3 linked regions of the Arabidopsis thaliana genome follow. The protein of the gene in region 1 purifies or fractionates together with the protein of each later gene. This does not show direct contact. Each region holds a gene or a part of one and is shown on either strand. Other genes may lie near its edges.

Evidence for each region. Proteins that work in one complex are often made in the same cells at the same time.
Region 2: the proteins of AMT1;3 (region 1) and HA7 purify together in Arabidopsis thaliana (affinity purification with mass spectrometry, with the first as the bait; one large-scale study listed by BioGRID). This does not show direct contact.
Region 3: the proteins of AMT1;3 (region 1) and FRO4 purify together in Arabidopsis thaliana (affinity purification with mass spectrometry, with the first as the bait; one large-scale study listed by BioGRID). This does not show direct contact.

The regions. Positions count from the first base shown.
Region 1 is NC_003074.8:8,804,975-8,809,279, forward strand, and holds AMT1;3 (ammonium transporter 1;3), read right to left. Parts: upstream 2,487-4,305; 5' UTR 2,381-2,486; coding exon 884-2,380; 3' UTR 545-883; downstream 1-544.
Region 2 is NC_003074.8:22,296,372-22,304,246, forward strand, and holds HA7 (H[+]-ATPase 7), read left to right. Parts: upstream 1-2,154; intron 2,155-2,177; exon of another isoform or gene 2,178-2,338; 5' UTR 2,339-2,391; coding exon 2,392-2,442; intron 2,443-2,544; coding exon 2,545-2,664; intron 2,665-2,755; coding exon 2,756-2,854; intron 2,855-2,992; coding exon 2,993-3,130; intron 3,131-3,205; coding exon 3,206-3,340; coding exon of another isoform or gene 3,341-3,344; intron 3,345-3,426; coding exon 3,427-3,606; intron 3,607-3,694; coding exon 3,695-3,901; intron 3,902-3,982; coding exon 3,983-4,102; intron 4,103-4,201; coding exon 4,202-4,321; intron 4,322-4,416; coding exon 4,417-4,539; intron 4,540-4,646; coding exon 4,647-4,751; intron 4,752-4,834; coding exon 4,835-4,979; intron 4,980-5,081; coding exon 5,082-5,237; intron 5,238-5,324; coding exon 5,325-5,563; intron 5,564-5,656; coding exon 5,657-5,689; intron 5,690-5,763; coding exon 5,764-5,845; intron 5,846-5,939; coding exon 5,940-6,100; intron 6,101-6,186; coding exon 6,187-6,399; and 8 more. Other genes in the region: AT3G60328 (uncharacterized protein), read right to left, coding at 1,996-2,154. UniProt on the Arabidopsis thaliana protein: The plasma membrane H(+) ATPase of plants and fungi generates a proton gradient that drives the active transport of nutrients by H(+)-symport. The resulting external acidification and/or internal alkinization may mediate growth responses.
Region 3 is NC_003076.8:8,097,450-8,103,083, forward strand, and holds FRO4 (ferric reduction oxidase 4), read right to left. Parts: upstream 3,882-5,634; 5' UTR 3,834-3,881; coding exon 3,680-3,833; intron 3,592-3,679; coding exon 3,495-3,591; intron 3,411-3,494; coding exon 3,231-3,410; intron 2,915-3,230; coding exon 2,680-2,914; intron 2,564-2,679; coding exon 2,236-2,563; intron 2,034-2,235; coding exon 1,796-2,033; intron 1,700-1,795; coding exon 975-1,699; intron 861-974; coding exon 718-860; 3' UTR 529-717; downstream 1-528. Other genes in the region: AT5G23970 (HXXXD-type acyl-transferase family protein), read left to right, coding at 1-163. UniProt on the Arabidopsis thaliana protein: Ferric chelate reductase. May participate in the transport of electrons to a Fe(3+) ion via FAD and heme intermediates.

The DNA.
Region 1 (4,305 bases):
TTAAATACAGTTTGACGACTAATATGCACAAAAAGATGATGTGCAAGGTATAAGCTACTGGAATTGCATCGTAATTCCATGATTCTACAGGTCTCGAAAGTGTATACAAACAAGGAATATATGTTATAAAAATTTTTGTTTAGCAGAATTTGAAATAAATAAAAAATACTATTGAAATATTAGGTGCTAAAATTTATCAACCACAAAATATGGGTCATACTCCTTTGTTTAAAGTTATCGAGGACGCAAGAATTTGATTTATATTTTAATTTTAGTTTGTACGATTAATAGCAACAATTGTTAGGCTAATAAAACCCATTAGGCTTAGTTCAATAGTTCTAAACAAGTGACCAGTTACATAGATGTAATGACATGTCATATTTCTTCTAGTATTATTTATTAACCAACATCGTTCAAGTAAAAGATAATATCTACGTGTACCTAAGCGTGGCTAGTTAACTAATTGGAAAAAATCGCTTTACGTGTACATAAGGGAATGACTAAGTTCTGCTTTTGGTACGAAATGGTACACAAATGATTTTTCAGAATTTATATTATTCTAAGAACAACTTTTGTGTACTCCAATTTCCTAATGCCGTCGGCAGAACAAAAACCTAAGCAAAGTTGTATACAGTATATGCATAACTCTCCTTTTTGGATCACCAAAAGTTGTATATATAAATTTCTAAGAAATAGCATAAACATTAGCCGAGGCATGTAAAATTAAAATTCAAGAAAAAAAAAAAAAACATAAACTAAAACACTTATAAACACAAAAAGACGATAGGTCACTTAAAACAAACCAAAACATCCAAATATTTATATTTCAAAACCAAAACCCAAACAATACTTAAACGGTAATAAATTACCAAAAAGTTGAAAATTAAACGCGAGGAGGAGTAGCTGATCGAGGGAAAGGAGATCCAGGATCCACTCTATGAGACTCATCATCATTATCATGGTAGATATAAGCAAAGCCACCGTGACGTGTCATATCCATCCCTTGCATTTCATGCTGCTCCGAGATCCTAAGCAGATTGAGCCTTTTGAGGATGAAGAAGAGTGTTCCCATTGTGGCACTAACCCATCCTACAATCACAAGTATTTGAACCAATTGTGCTCCCAACAGCTTCCCTCCTCCGCCCATAAATAGTCCATATGGCCTTCCCGGGGTGGCGCCATAAACCTCGTTTAGATACTTCTCTTTGGCAAACAATCCTACGAATATCAACCCCCACGCGCCACACCCTCCATGTAGTTGGGCTGCCTCGAGTGGATCATCATATTGTACAAGCTCCGCGAGCTTGTTGCATCCGATAAGGACGACAGAAGCCATGAAGCCGCACACAATCGCTGCCCATGGCTCTACGACGGAGCAACCTGCGGTTATGGCCGCAAACCCACCGAGTAACCCGTTGCAAACGTCCGTTACGTTCCAGTGGCCTGATAGGAGACGTTTACCAAAGAGTGTGGTTAGAGCTGCTGTGCATCCTGAGAGTGTGGTGTTAACCGCTGTACGGCCGATTCCGCTCCATTGGCCGTAGTTGGAACCAGAATTATACGGAACGAGTATCTTAGTGAAGGAACCGGGGTTGAAACCATACCATCCAAACCATAGGAGGAAGGTTCCTAAGACTACTAGCGAGGCAGAGTGGCCGCGCAGAGCAATAGCGCGACCACCTTTCTCGAACCGACCACGACGAGGACCTTCAATAAGAGCACCCCATAAACCTGCTATGCCACCAACCATGTGAACAACACCGGAGCCAGCAAAGTCAATGGCTCCGGTGCTAAACAAACGATCATCCGCTGAACGAAAGGGACTGGCCCATCCATCCGGGGACCAAAACCAGTGAGAGACAACCGGGTAAACAAATCCGGTTAAGAAAGAAGAGTATATCAAGTAAGCCACGAACTGAGTCCTCTCTGCGATCGAACCACTTGTGATTCCAGCGGCCGCGATTGCGAACGCCCATTGGTAGAGGAAGAAAGAGTAATCAGCTGTGGGAGTCGGAAAGTCTCTAAGAGCAAAGTTGTGTCTTCCAATGAACCCTTCGGAGGATCCTCCAAAGGCAAAGGCGTAACCAAAGAGATAGTAGAAGAGTCCTCCGGCTGCAGCGTCAAGGACATTGGTAAGCATGATGTTCATCGTATTCTTGGCTCTAACAGAACCAGCACAAAGCATAGCGAAGCCGAGCTGCATGGCGAAGACAAGGTAGGCAGAGAAGAGGAGGTAGGTGTTGTCTATGGCGAAGGCTGCATCGGTGAACTTGTTGTTAACGGTGCCTAATTGGCCGCAAATGTAGTCGGCCGCCGCCGTGGCGTTGGGGCCAAGTAGGGTGGCGAGATCGGCCGCAGAGCATGTTATTGCTCCTGACATGTTTGAGAGAGCTGAGAGAGAGAAAGAGAGATACGGAGAAGAAAGGTTGTCTCTTGTGTGTCTCTTAAAAGGAAGAAGGAGGAGTTTAGGGTTGACTTTAGATTCCGGCTAGACCAATTAAGTTCGTATTTAAGAGAGTTTATCAATTATTTAAGAAGTTATGTGACGTAACAACATTATTGAATTAGAGATGTAATCTGCCAAATCTTCTTAATAACTTGCAAATTACGATCCTAATCCTATACGGTTTTTGGTGATTAAGTGATTGCCATGTAATGTGTGAATAAAAAAAAGGTAAATTAAAGGCTTGTATAAAAAAATTACAAAAATAAATTTGTGAATAAAATTGATACTAGTATTTAAAGTAATAAATCAAAGAATAATTGTCCTAGCTCAACCGTATATGTTCAAGCAAACCGATCAGAACTTACTACATAGATGTCGATTTTAGATCAGCAGTTTTATGAAATTAAGTCAAGATTCAGCACTCTTTATACGACAATCTTATGATAATCTTGCAAAATTTTAATAAAGTTCATAACCAAATATTAATTAAGTTTGCTGAAGGTTGAAACCAAAAATGATAACATGGGTTAGCGGGAACCACGTTTTATTTGCTGAAAATTGCACTTTACACCCTTAACTCTTAGATATGTCCAAAATTACTCAGATCATCAACAGAAGCATTAAAAAAAATTATCTTGGTTTTGTATAATAATACTACATGCATGTATAAAGTATTCAATTAGGAAAACAAAAAAATGAAGACACACGACATATAGTTTCAAGCAAGAGATATATACAATAATTCGATCCAATTGACATTGAAACCTATTAACAGTTCATGAATAATTCACGTTTATACCAAAACAAAAACATTCATGTTTAAGATATATATATATATATATATATATATATATTTTAAGATATTTAATGATTGAAAAAAGACATTTATCTCTCAGTTTGTGCCAAGCCATGAAAATTCAAGTCAAGTATTACTTTTAGGAACATGATGATCTCTTTTGATCAAAAATCTATTATGATGTATTTGAATAAATATACTTAAAAGTTGTTACAAGTGCTGATGTTTCACCAATAGGCTTTTTATTGTCACTAACTAGTTCTAAAAACTGAAAGCTTTCTATATATGTATGTGTGTGTGTGTCTGACCTTAATCATGTTTTAAGTCAACCTAACTTAATCATTATGGGAGACACTTGTGACTTGTTATCTATATATTTACTGATGAGTTGTAAATGAGAGTTGACACTCAGAAAAATAGACAAAGCAAACTGTTTTCTAAAATAATGAACGTTAAATTATGCACATATTTTAGTAGACGGTAGCTTTCTAAATCGTACAAAATAATGTCAAGAATTGACGTGACATCATTGATTACCACATAACAAATATTGATTCTTTAGTAATACGTAGTAACTATTGATTAATTGTAGTACATATTTTTTAATTTAGGTCAACTGAAAATTATAAATGTAAAATTGTTTACTAAATACGAAAAGCCATAGTAAGTGATTTACATTATATTGGTTTATGAAATAAAACTAAAGCAGGCTTGTTATACTGTGTAACTAGGTAAGCACCACGGCTCGACGCAATAGCACGTTAGGGAGTCTATAGCTCGCCTCTATGCATATCAAAATTCACAATTTTTGTTCGTGAAATTCTTTTTTTATCCTCTGATGTTAGAAACCAAAGGCATCATAAGAAAAATTGCGATAATCAAGACTTTTGCATTAACTTTTGTGCCAAAAAACAATTACGCCAAGAGTGGTAGACTTTGCATTGCTTCATGATGACTTTAAAGAACCCTGCTGGATTCTAAGTAGTACCATTCAAATCTATTGTTTCCAGCTAGTTCTATATATTTTAAAGAATGAGTTATTGACTCTATTAGTCTCTAATTA
Region 2 (7,875 bases), about 13 Mb from region 1:
AAAATATATCGCATGACTCTTATATAGTTTTATTATATGTACGTAATATATAGAGTGGATCACAACTTGGTTACCAGTACCGACAGAAATAATCTCCACCCATGTTTTAACTTCTCTTTTTTTTCATGTGTAAAGAAATTTTTTGTGTGTTTTCTATCTTTCATTTGGCATGTTTTGTAGATAAATATAGCCAAAAAGAAAGAAAGATATAAGTGTTATATTGACAATACAAGATAATCTCGTAATGTAATAGCTCCAATTGTTGAAAAGAAAAAACAAAAAATATAAAGAGCAGTTTGCCATATATATCAATTGGAAACTATTCAGTTTTAATTCCATTTTCATAGAATTTTTTATAACAATCTCAAATCCAAAAGCTGGAATAAAGATAAGTGAATTGGGCAAGTGACCGTGACGTGACGACCAACATGAACAATTTTTTTTTTTTTCCTTTACACTTCCATTAAAACGAAAATTACAAGCCTTAAAAGCCCATGACGGCCACATAGCCCAATAAAAAGCAACAAAATACATTCATCTGAAGTATATAAACGGCTTCCTGAAAACTTTGAAGTAGCTAAGCAATAGGACGTGAAACACTTATATTTGAAGATTAAACTGGATTGTTACTTTAAGTTTCAATCCAATTTCGTAATGACCAAGTTCGTTTTTAAGTGTAGTCTCATTATTCGAACATCTCGCAGAACATGTTTACTTGACTTGCGCACCAGTTGTTCGTCAAAATGTCCACATGAACTTCTCAAAACACCAGTGTTTCAATGAACTTCATGCTTACATCTTCAAATGATTTTTGCTGATTTTAGTTTCTTTTATTTATTTATATACTATGAGTTCGAGAAACTCTTGGAGTCTTAGAAAGTAGAGTGAAATGCCTATGTTTTCCTTGAGTTGTAATGCCAAAACCAGAAGCTGTAGATTTCAATGGAGAAAACTACAGGACCATGGAAGCTTTATTTTTACAGGCTTTCGCAATCTGAAGATGCACTTTGATGCCTATGGATACTTCTTGACCAGTTGCATGATGTCACATCCAACAAGGTACCACAAATTTCACCCTTATTTTATTATCTTCCGTAATTGGTACGGGCATGGATCTTGCTCTCATTAAACAATAAGAAAACAGAATTAAACAAGGCAAGAAACTTGTCGTCGAAAAGACGTCCGGCTAAATTGTTGTTGTCCACTAAATGGTTCTTTTGTCTTCTGAAGATTTATATGGTCATAAACTTGTCATACATATTTTTAATTATTGATTTTGCTATAATGGACGGTGTTAAGCTCTCAAGAATCTCGGAATATCCTGATTAGCGTAGAAAATATAAAAATCCCAACATTATGGATCACCACTATCTTGAATTGTTTATTATAGATTTTTTACATTTTCTGAGAGTTTTCTTTCTTTCACGTTCTAAGAATAGGACCGTGCTAAATAATGCGATTAAGGGAGAATTTTGATCGAATTATTTGACGCGTGTGCCAATTGTTTTTTTTTGTTTTGTTTGTCCCTCTAACCTTTTCAATAGACAAAAACAGAGGTCAATGCTTTGATTAGCTCGACCTTAGACATTAACAACTTAGTCAGATTTGTTTTTTGACTTTTGTGAATTTTCTTCTCCTGATTACTAGGATTAGGAGTTACAATTAATCTAGGATTCTTACGGAGGTAAAATGTTAGTCAAAAGAAGAAACCTAATGCAGTTTAGTTTAGATTTCTTACTACCCTAATGCCATTAGATGCTGAGAGGGGCTACAATTTTCTACGTCTTCAAATGTACATTGGTAAAGGAATATCTGTTTTCTCAGATCTTTTTTTTTCATCCTTATTTTAATTACATTTTGCGGTAACAATAGTGACAATAAAAAAAGAAGAAGAAGAGTTAGTTGCATTTTGAATGAGTCAGCTTTCTTCTGCATTGGGTTAATCTGGCCGGCAAAATCTTTGAATTCGTTATTATATAGACCTTCTTGTCTTCTTTATATATTGCTTGCATTACACATTTGTCTCAACTTCCAGATTTGCCCCTGGTTTAAAACGATTGTCCTGTTTCCTTTGTGAAGGTCAAGCTTTGAAGGGCTAACGGGTGATGCTTTGGTGAAGGTTTTTTCTGGTCCAGGTTTGTGCTTATTTTGCATTGCTTCTCTTTGATTCACGTCTGCATAAACATCAAATAATTCATTTATGTTTGAGTTGATTATGTAGAAAAAATTATTAGGGGAGATGCTTTATGATAAGAAAAAAAAGTGGTCTTGTGGTATCTTAAGGCAGAAGGAAAATATTTAGTGTCTTAATGAGTAATAGATTTATCTGTCTATCCAGATTTTATAACTGAGTTTTAGTAACTTCCGGCTCAAGCAAAAAGGAAGTTCGATATGACGGACATAGAAGCTCTCAAGGCTATCACCACGGAGAGCATTGATCTGGTATGTACTTTTATACCTCACCACTTTTTTTTTGCAGATGATTGCTTCTGATAGCTTTTATGTCAAATATGAACAAATGCAATTTCTCATGGATCGTTGCAGGAAAATGTTCCCGTTGAAGAGGTTTTTCAACATCTCAAATGCACGAAAGAAGGATTGACCTCCAATGAAGTGCAGGAGCGACTTACCTTGTTTGGTTACAACAAACTTGAGGAGAAAAAGGTTTTAAAAAATGATTTTTCAATCTTGCATTGATCTCTTATTTTCTCTCTATGGATGGTATGTTGATCTCTCTTTCTATTTGGTTCTGCAGGAGAGTAAGATACTCAAGTTCTTGGGATTCATGTGGAATCCACTTTCATGGGTCATGGAAGCTGCAGCCCTCATGGCCATTGGTCTTGCACATGGAGGAGTACGTCTTTTGTTCCCTCTCATTAGTCGTTTCTTTCCACAATATGTAAATACGTAAAATTGTGAAAGGTATAGCTTAACATAGAATTTTAAAACAATTTTGAGAGTCTGAAGAAACTAATTTGTCTCAACTCTTCAGGGAAAGCCAGCGGATTATCACGATTTCGTGGGTATTGTGGTCTTACTTTTGATAAACTCGACAATCAGTTTTGTAGAAGAAAACAATGCTGGAAATGCAGCTGCTGCTCTCATGGCTCAGTTAGCCCCTAAAGCGAAGGTTTAAATTTATTCCTTTTAGTTGCGCTCATTTAAATTTGATGGTAGTAGCTTATTTACAAATCAATTGTTTTAGGCCGTCCGCGATGGCAAATGGAATGAGATAGATGCAGCTGAGTTGGTTCCAGGAGATATAGTTAGTATCAAACTTGGAGATATCATTCCTGCTGATGCTCGTCTTCTTGAAGGAGACCCTTTAAAGATTGACCAGGCAAGTTCTACTTCTAATATTGGTTTATCATTGCTCTGTATCTTATCTCTCCCTTGACTAATCTTGGTTATTTATCTTTTCCTCAGTCAGCACTTACAGGTGAATCTCTTCCGGTAACCAAAAATCCTGGTGCTTCAGTGTACTCTGGTTCAACTTGCAAGCAAGGTGAAATTGAAGCAGTTGTTATAGCGACTGGTGTCCACACTTTCTTTGGAAAGGCGGCTCATCTTGTGGATAGTACTACGCATGTCGGTCACTTCCAGAAGGTTTGTTCTCACTTTGGAGTAAAATATAAAAGTTTACAAAGATTTTGGAGTCAATGACTAAATTTAATCTTTGTATATTGGTTTCCAGGTTTTGACAGCAATAGGAAATTTCTGTATCTGCTCGATTGCAGTAGGAATGGCAATTGAAATCGTTGTTATATACGGTCTTCAAAAGAGAGGGTACCGTGTTGGTATTGATAACCTTCTTGTTTTATTGATTGGTGGGATCCCCATTGCAATGCCTACTGTTCTCTCTGTTACAATGGCAATTGGTGCTCATCGCTTGGCTCAACAGGTCAATACAAGTCTTAAGACAGAGTCAGTTAACTTTTGTTGATTTGTGTTTCTTTATAAATGACTTTAAAATCCATTTCAGGGTGCCATAACAAAGAGAATGACAGCCATTGAAGAAATGGCAGGAATGGATGTTCTGTGCAGTGATAAAACAGGTACTCTCACGCTCAACAAGCTTTCTGTGGATAAGAATCTGATCGAGGTTTGCCTCTTTCCTCTGTTCTTCTTACTTTGTATTTAAAAATCTTGATAGGTTGAGGACGATGATGTAATTAGAGCACTTTCATTTCTTTTAAAACAGGTTTTTAAGAGGGGCATCGACAGAGATATGGCTGTGCTTATGGCTGCAAGAGCTGCACGTTTAGAGAACCAAGATGCTATTGATACTGCAATTGTTTCGATGTTGTCAGACCCGAAAGAGGTATTAATTAAAGACTCAACTTTCAAGTAAACAAGATTCAGTTACTTTCAAAGGTATAAACATTGTGATGTATTGATCTGATACTTTGTCTTCAGGCACGTGCCGGGATTAAAGAACTCCATTTTCTTCCATTCAGTCCAGCTAATAGAAGAACTGCACTAACGTACCTAGACGGAGAAGGCAAAATGCACCGAGTGAGCAAAGGCGCGCCTGAAGAGGTTATAACCTTTGCTGTCAACTTTCTTTATAAATAGCTATTACTACATTACTTTAAGTTTACCCACTGTTTCCTAAGATATTGTTCTGATGATTTGTCCTTCTCTAGATTTTGGATATGGCCCACAACAAATTAGAAATCAAGGAGAAAGTACATGCTACAATCGACAAATTTGCAGAACGTGGCCTAAGATCGCTTGGGTTGGCATATCAGGTAATTATGTTTTAAATGTGGCACTTGTTTTAAATGGGATAACTCCTACGATTCCATTGTAACGATCCCTTTTCCAATAATAGGAAGTACCAGATGGTGATGTTAAAGGTGAAGGTGGTCCATGGGACTTTGTAGCTCTTCTTCCTCTGTTTGATCCTCCTCGTCATGACAGTGCACAGACAATTGAGCGAGCACTTCATCTTGGAGTCAGTGTTAAAATGATCACAGGTAAAGAGCCAGTCTTTAGCTCCTTTCCGCCATATCATTAGGTCCTACTCCACCTTGGATTCTTGTGTATTCATAAAATGTCAAAAATCTCAATACTTGCAGGTGACCAGCTTGCAATTGCCAAAGAAACAGGAAGAAGGCTTGGAATGGGCACAAACATGTACCCATCTTCATCTTTGCTTTCTGATAACAACACTGAAGGAGTTTCTGTCGATGAACTTATCGAGAACGCAGATGGTTTTGCAGGAGTCTTTCCTGGTAATGCTACTTACTTGTAAACTTCATTTGTAACTATGATCTTTGAGAGATATCTGACATTGACAACCCCCTTTTTCTGATTTTTAGAGCATAAGTATGAGATTGTGAAGAGATTACAATCCCGAAAACACATATGTGGTATGACTGGTGATGGAGTGAATGACGCACCTGCCTTGAAGAAAGCTGATATTGGAATTGCTGTGGATGATGCCACTGATGCTGCTCGGGGTGCTTCTGATATTGTCTTAACAGAACCTGGACTTAGTGTTATCATCAGTGCTGTCTTGACTAGCCGTGCAATTTTCCAGAGAATGAAAAATTACACGGTACATAAATGCTTCTGCCTCATTGGCTATTACCTGATAAAGTTTAAATTGAATGCTTATATTGAATTTTTTTGGTTTACCTTCATTTTGCAGATATATGCTGTTTCTATCACTATACGTATTGTCGTAAGTTTCTCAGTCGAAATTGCATCAGATTTTCACAAATACTTGGTCTTATTTTCTATACCTTTGTGTTACAGATGGGTTTCATGCTTCTATGTGTCTTCTGGGAGTTTGACTTCCCTCCATTCATGGTTCTTGTAATTGCAATCCTTAACGATGGTTAGTAACTGTTAACTCCCTCGATGATTTAGCTTACGGCTTTTGCTGGTGCTTGAAGCATTCACCCTGCTAAATTTGCTTTCCTGTTGAAAAGGTACTATAATGACCATATCCAAGGACAGAGTCAAGCCTTCTCCAACTCCAGATTGTTGGAAACTCAAAGAAATTTTTGCTACTGGTGTTGTGCTTGGAGCTTACTTGGCGATCATGACTGTTGTGTTTTTCTGGGCAGCATACGAAACCAACTTCTTCCATGTAAGCTACACACTATCCCTCTCCTTGTTTACTCTAATTTCAACTGTCAGCAAAATATAACTATACTTTTTTCCCTTTTGTGGTAGAACATTTTCCATGTGAGAAACTTCAACCAGCACCATTTCAAAATGAAAGACAAGAAAGTGGCTGCACATTTGAATGAACAGATGGCTTCCGCGGTCTACCTTCAAGTCAGCACGATCAGCCAAGCGTTGATCTTCGTGACCCGTTCCAGGAGCTGGTCATTTGTTGAGCGTCCCGGTTTTCTTCTTGTAATTGCTTTCCTAATAGCTCAGCTGGTAAAGAGATTTCCGTCACCTATCTCATTATTTTCCTTAGTTACTTACCTCTTTGTTTATAGTTTGTTAATAGAATCCAACTCTGTATTATTTTGATAGGTTGCATCGGTGATATCGGCAATGGCAAATTGGCCTTTTGCTGGAATCAGAAGCATTGGATGGGGTTGGACTGGAGTTATCTGGATATTCAACATAGTAACTTACATGTTACTTGATCCTATCAAATTCCTAGTCCGTTATGCTCTAAGTGGCAAATCATGGGACCGAATGGTCGAGGGGAGGGTACGTAGACCAAAAAAAAGACAGAATCACTTAACTCTAAATTCGGTACTTCACAATTACGTTGGCCTAACTAGAACTCGTGATTTGTTTGCAGACTGCACTCACAGGAAAGAAGAATTTTGGCCAAGAAGAAAGAATGGCTGCGTGGGCCACCGAGAAGCGTACACAGCACGGTTTAGAGACGGGTCAAAAGCCAGTTTATGAGAGAAATAGCGCAACGGAACTTAACAATATGGCTGAGGAAGCTAAAAGGCGTGCAGAAATTGCAAGGTTAGTTTTTTTTTTATATTAGAGATCGTTAGTCTCTGTCATGTTTGAGAGATGATCTCATTTCTAGTATGCTGATGAATTTTGCAGAATGAGAGAGCTTCAGACATTGAAGGGGAAGGTTGAATCAGCTGCAAAGCTGAAAGGCTATGATCTTGAGGATCCTAACAGCAACAACTACACAATCTGAGACAGTCTCAATCTCTGCTTAGTTCATTTTGTCTTTTATTTTCGATGTATTATTATTAATTCTTCTTGATATATTGACATTAGTTTTGATATCTTTGTGGAAGATGTCTCACATGTTGTAATCTTTCAATTGATGCCTGTAACTTTCTTACTTTTTATTTGATGAAAATTCTTATTTGATTGGTTTTGTTCGGTTCTTTACTGAAATAAAACCAAACCGAGTCAAACCAAACTAGACTAAACCGTCTGAACACAACTCGAACCAAACTAACTATGGTTGAGGACACTCGAACCAAACTAACTATGGTTGAGGTCCGCTAGAGTTTTATTACAACCGAATTAACCGAACCGAAAATAAACCGAAATGCACCCCCTAACTACACCTAACGCAAAAGAATATACTCCACAGAGATGTTTGTTTTTTTAACCAGACCGGTTTAAATTTGTTTCTTTTCAGATAGAACAGAAGTATCCAAGTCTTTTAAAGTTTTAATTCTCGCAAACCAACAATTACTGTTTGACTAATTACTTCTCACGCGCCAAATTCGCACGTGTAAGACAACCCAACTAAAAGTTAACTAACTCACAAGTGCGTGCTCCACACGTGCCTATCTGTTGATAAGAATGCCACAATTTTCATCTCATATTCTCATTGAACAAAAATAATAAATTCTCAGTGATCCTTCGAGAGATTGATTATAAAATCCGGTCGGCGACGAGACTTACTTTCGCCGCAAA
Region 3 (5,634 bases), on another chromosome or scaffold:
TGCCCCAGATTCAGTTGATAAGACGCAGGTCGTGTTAATGGACTCAAAGGACAGTGAAGGGGTTGAGGCAAGGGTTACACTACCTGAAACCGACATGGCTAAGTATGAGCATGATAGTGAACTACTCGTTTACGCTACTCCAAGTCCTAGTATCCTCATCTAGTAATAATTATGTTTATCAAACAAGTCTAAACATAGACCGGTTAAAAAATGGACTTGTGCTATAGAATAAAAGTGACCTTTGCTATACTACTTGGATCTGTTTTAATTTTATAAGATGTTTTAACGCATTACAGTATTTTTATTTCATCTAATTGCAATCTAATTATATTTCACTTAATTTACTATATAAGTTTAAAGTGGTATAGATTAGTGGTCAAATAGACTTTAAATCAAACACGTAAACATTTATGTAATTTTTTCCCAAAATTAAATATCTTACGATATGAAACAGAAGGAAGTAATGAATATGAAAGAAAAATGAAGAAAGAGAAAAGCAAAAAAAGTTAACAAAGAAAAAACACTCACTAAGTCTATAATGGGCTCAATAGGATTAATGATGATTAGAAATTGATAATAATGAAGGTGCAGGATAACATATACATTAACATTCCATTTTAAATTGTATTAAAAATAGAAAATCAAACAGCAAACCATCTAAAACATCAAAAGTTATTACGATGAATATAAACACACATAGTTAGAACATGGAATACATCACCAGTTGAAACTAATTGCCTCAAAGTGAAGGTTCTTAGCCAAACCAGATGAACATATCTTTGCAACTTCATGTCTCATCTTTCTTGGTCCGCAAACCATCACCCCAACGTCTTCTGAACCCTCAGCCTCAAGTAGAATCTCTGCAAAGCGACAAGGTTAAAGTATCAGATTCATGCATATGTAATTTCACTTACACCATTTATGTAATGTAAGTGATGCTATCATGTCGAATATAGTGGTAATAGATTACTTACTTTTCAGATTAGGTTTGGAGCCGAAGTGGACTGAAGTGGCTTGTACTATAGATTGATAGGGAACACTCTCGAGCTCTCTCTCGTGGCCGTGGAACCATGAACCTGGAGAAGAAGTGGGTGTCTGAAACTCTACGCTTTGTACCTGATTCTTGAACTCCTTATCCCCTTCTTTGTTCTGTTTCTTGCGCCATAAGAAAACTACACTGGAAGAGATGAAAATGCACGCACTTCCTAGAAACATGTCCCAAAGCCCTCTATATGAGAAATTGTAGATGGATCCTGTATTATGGTCAACAGGGTATATATAGTAACGTGTGACGATCCCTATGAGCAAGAGAAACATGACGAATGATGATAAGATCACAACTCCGAGCCAGAGGAAGTTGTTTGGTCCAAGAACAGGTGAGATAGGAGAGTCTAGAGGCTGCGGTTTAAACCATTTTGTTTGAAGAAGTCTGTGGTCATCAGTTGTCTCGGGCTTCTTGTCTTCTCTTGTAATATAGGCCTCAATTCGGAGATTCAGCCTAGAAATGTCAGAGGCTGACATATCCAGTGGGAAGATTAGGTCTAAAAACGCAAGATCATGGTAATGTTTAAAAGAACAAACAAGAAGAACATCTGGTAGCTTTGTGCTCTTGTTTTGGCTCTGAGATATGAGTTCTCTGATAACCGAAATGAAGGGTGTAATTCCGCTTCCACCGCTCACTAGTATTAGAGAGTTATGCCTATATAAGACGAAAATGATGGAGACAATATAATTAGACTAACTTAAGATAAAGTAATTAAGTATGAAACTGAAATAACACCTTTGAGTTTTGTACCTTGAGACATCAAAAGAGTTAGGGCCATACGGACCCTCAGTAGAAACTTCGAGAGAATCAATGGAAGAAGAGAGATGTGTGTAAAGCTTTTGAGTCCAACTTCCCTGTCTTCTGATTACAACACTTAATGTATCTTTCTCTAAGTTGCTGCTCGAAGTTATAGTAAATGGATGCCATTGAATCTTCGAAATGCTTGGCACATGTAGAAACAATATGCTTGTTGGGGTATAATGTAGCCCTATAGTTAGTAAAACAAATGGTTACAACAATCATGAAGCATGCATCTCTCTCTTGAACGTGGCACTCTAGTTCAAATTAAAATGCAAATACTATTCAAAGTATATAATTAATTAAAATCCAATTTTATATTATATTTCTCTTTCAGATTATAAACCCAAAACATTTGAATGTCAACGTAAATGGATGAACTAGTTATAAACCTGGGGTTTTGGAGAAAGTGAGTTCGAGGTTGTCTGAAGGTAAGATCCTAGCAGACACAAGTCTGGATCTCTTGGTGGATTGTAAGAATCTCAAGTATCGGTCTATAAAAAAGAGAAAGATGTTTGGCAAGATCATGCAGAACCACGAGTCTCCCACGTGGATTACGTAGAAGACTATATAGAGACCGTAGAGATGGTGAGTGTAGAAGAAAATCTCAAACTTCTTTCGTCTAAAGGATGGTAAACTCGTCACCCACATCGCTATTCCAATCACCATCGCTATTGTTCCGGCCAGATTAGGCACATATGTTGGATTCCATGCAAACGTCTTCACATATATAAGAAAACGTAAAAACAAATATCAGTTGGAATAAAAGAAAGAATGAAAGTTTTGTTTTGTTTTGTTTTAAGGATAAGATTAAGGTAGATGCATGTAACACGGACCTCCATCAACTTATTGATCATGGCCCAGTAGATAAGGAAAACGACTGTGTGAACGAGGAAGCAAAAATTTGAGACATGTCCAAGCCAAATGTGATATTTTATACTTGACTCTGACGTTAACCCGACAAGTGGCAGAATCGTAGAGGCTCTTGTCACCGGGAAGAACAAAAAGGCCCAACAGATGTTGCCCACATATCCTATTCTCAGGCCGAAAGCCCTAAACTTTGCCTGCCATCTGCACCATTTGAATCAATGTTCAATCAAATTCTCCTATGGATTTAAATATCTGTTTCTTTTTTAAGGATGTAAATATTTTGGTACTATGCATGGATGGGATATACTAATAATGGCAGTGCAAAAAATGCGCCGTTGTTTTTGGTCTATTTCATCCGCTATAGCGTAACCATGTGAAAATGATGACTTATCGAATTCAAATCTAGTAATAAGTGAGATGTTCATATCTTTTATATAAAACATAGTGTTGAATTATCTCCATGTGATATTTTGATAAATCATTTTCAAATGGAAGTAGAAAACAAATAGAAGCTTACATTTTTGCGTTGTCGTCGTTATGAAGGTGGACGTGATAGCTAAGGTAGAGATAATTGTAGAGGGACCAAGCCAAAAGAGCAACAAACAATAGAGAAAAAGTTAACTCCGTGGCTGTCACTATCCCCAATGGGTTCATCACCATAATCACCCTCCCCATTATCCTTTTTAGCTTCCATTCTCTGCATTCATATAAATAGGATTGTGATAATTTATTGCAAATATTTACATGTTGTCAATAAAAATAAAAGTATAACAAGTTGTACCTTTGAGGTTGGGTTGGTTTCTTCTGGATATGCAAATAAACACAACTTAGAACCGCAATGAACATCATGGGAACCGTGAGAAGCACAAGATTCGTGCCTAGACATACAAGATATAATTCTTGAATACTCAAAATAAAGGAATCAAAATATTAAAATGTGAGATAATTAAATCGAGAAATTAATACCTTGAGGGCCAAAATAAGTAGTATTGAGATACTTGGAGAGTTTCGGGGTCCATTTGCTTTTAAAAAGATTAGTTGAAATCATAATCCAAACCAAAATCCATCCAAGAAATAGAACCACCATTAACGTCTTCACTAAGCTTCTCATATTTCCCATTTTTTCTCGTTTATATATTTATCCACAATGTATTGATGTATAATTGCGGAAAAGTTTCTTGATTTGCTATTTATAGCTGAAGGGAGGGGTAATGTCGTAGTCTTATATAAATGTTGTATGCTAAGAGCAACTCCATTGCACAAATAAGTTGAGTGTCTTCTTACACTTAAAATATAATATATTCAAAATAAATATTATTTTAATTTTTGAATGTCTTTAAAGTAAAGACACATTGTCTTAAATGTCTAAATAGAGACATTTTTGAGAGGATGTCTCTAATTTAAATATCCTTCATATTTGATTATTAATATTTTGTAAATTTAATATTTTAATATTGTTAAAGACATCTTCTTTCTATTATGTAATGTAGTTGCTCTAAGATTTGTTTGTGGATTCCCCTGCCTATGTTTTGACCGTTGGATGTTGATGTTTTTTTATTGAAAAAAAACAGTCGTGAGCAAGCACATAAACCTAAACACATAAACCTGGTTAGCTATTATATATATAGATTATCTCCCAATTGCCAGCAGAATATATACACAATATAAAATACATAACGCATATATCATAAATTTGTGGCCCGCGAATTGTATCAAAATTTATTTAGAAAAATAATTAGCCAAACATTGATCGGGTCATCGGTTTATGAAATTGAAAGCTTTCTGCATTTGATCGTATTTGTATATTTTGTTTCTGAATATGTAGATTTCTAACCATTTTCCTAAGGATAAAAAGTTTAGGGACATGGTGTATATTATTTTTTTTTTTTTCGTTTTTACTGGAAAACTTTTTATTTTCGGTTGGTCAGTTACTGGTATCACATTTTAGATCTGTTAGAAAATTTGGACAGTAAACTATTCAACGAATACATTAGATTAGTTGGATAGTGAGCCTGAAGTATCTCTAGTTAACAAAATATTTCCTTTTCCATATGAAGTTTCGTATGCATATCTATACACTATTGTGGGAGTATGTAGATACTTTAAGTTTTTTTCTTTTAACTCCATATTGTCTTTTTTTTTTTTATGTTTTTCCAAAGTCATTGTACACATAATTTATCTTTTTATTCATTGTATTGAGGTTTAAATTTTAAAATTTTGGGGAGGAGAAAACGAGGCTAGAATCTCGGACCTAAAGATAGCACAATCTAGCCTAGTGACTTTCCACCATCTCTTCTAGATGACAATTTTACAAAGCAGATGCAAAGATAGGTGAAAAAATCTGAAAAGTATCTATCTACATACTGAGTTCAGGATAACATAATAAGAGGTTGAAATGAAAATGTTGAATGACTATTCATCTCACCTTTTACCATTTGAAATGAATATATTGGAAAATTGATTCAACCCATTCAGCCAAAAATTGAAAAAATAAACAAATTATAAAAAAAAATTGTTCAACTCTTTCATCTACTATTTTACAGAGGGATGAGTTGAATGATGTTCAACTTTGTTTTGTTCAACTCAAAATTTTCCAATCATTCCACTATATGTCATCCATTTGCAGAATTTTCTAAATCATATCTCATCTTGAGATATTAAGTAATTCAAAAAAAAAAATAATCGTTAAGAATATTGTAAGAAGGAGTTATAAAGGGTCTCTTAGAAAACATCTATGGACCCAAAAACAACCTCTTTACATTTGTAAATCAAAAGATATGATACAACGTTCCTAAACACTTGGTCAACCAAACTCCTTTAAAAATAGAGAAAGATTTTTTAGTTAAATCCGCAGCTTGGGCACTTCGAACATATTTGATATCGTGTCTATTGTTATCTAATGCGACTGAAAAGAAATGATA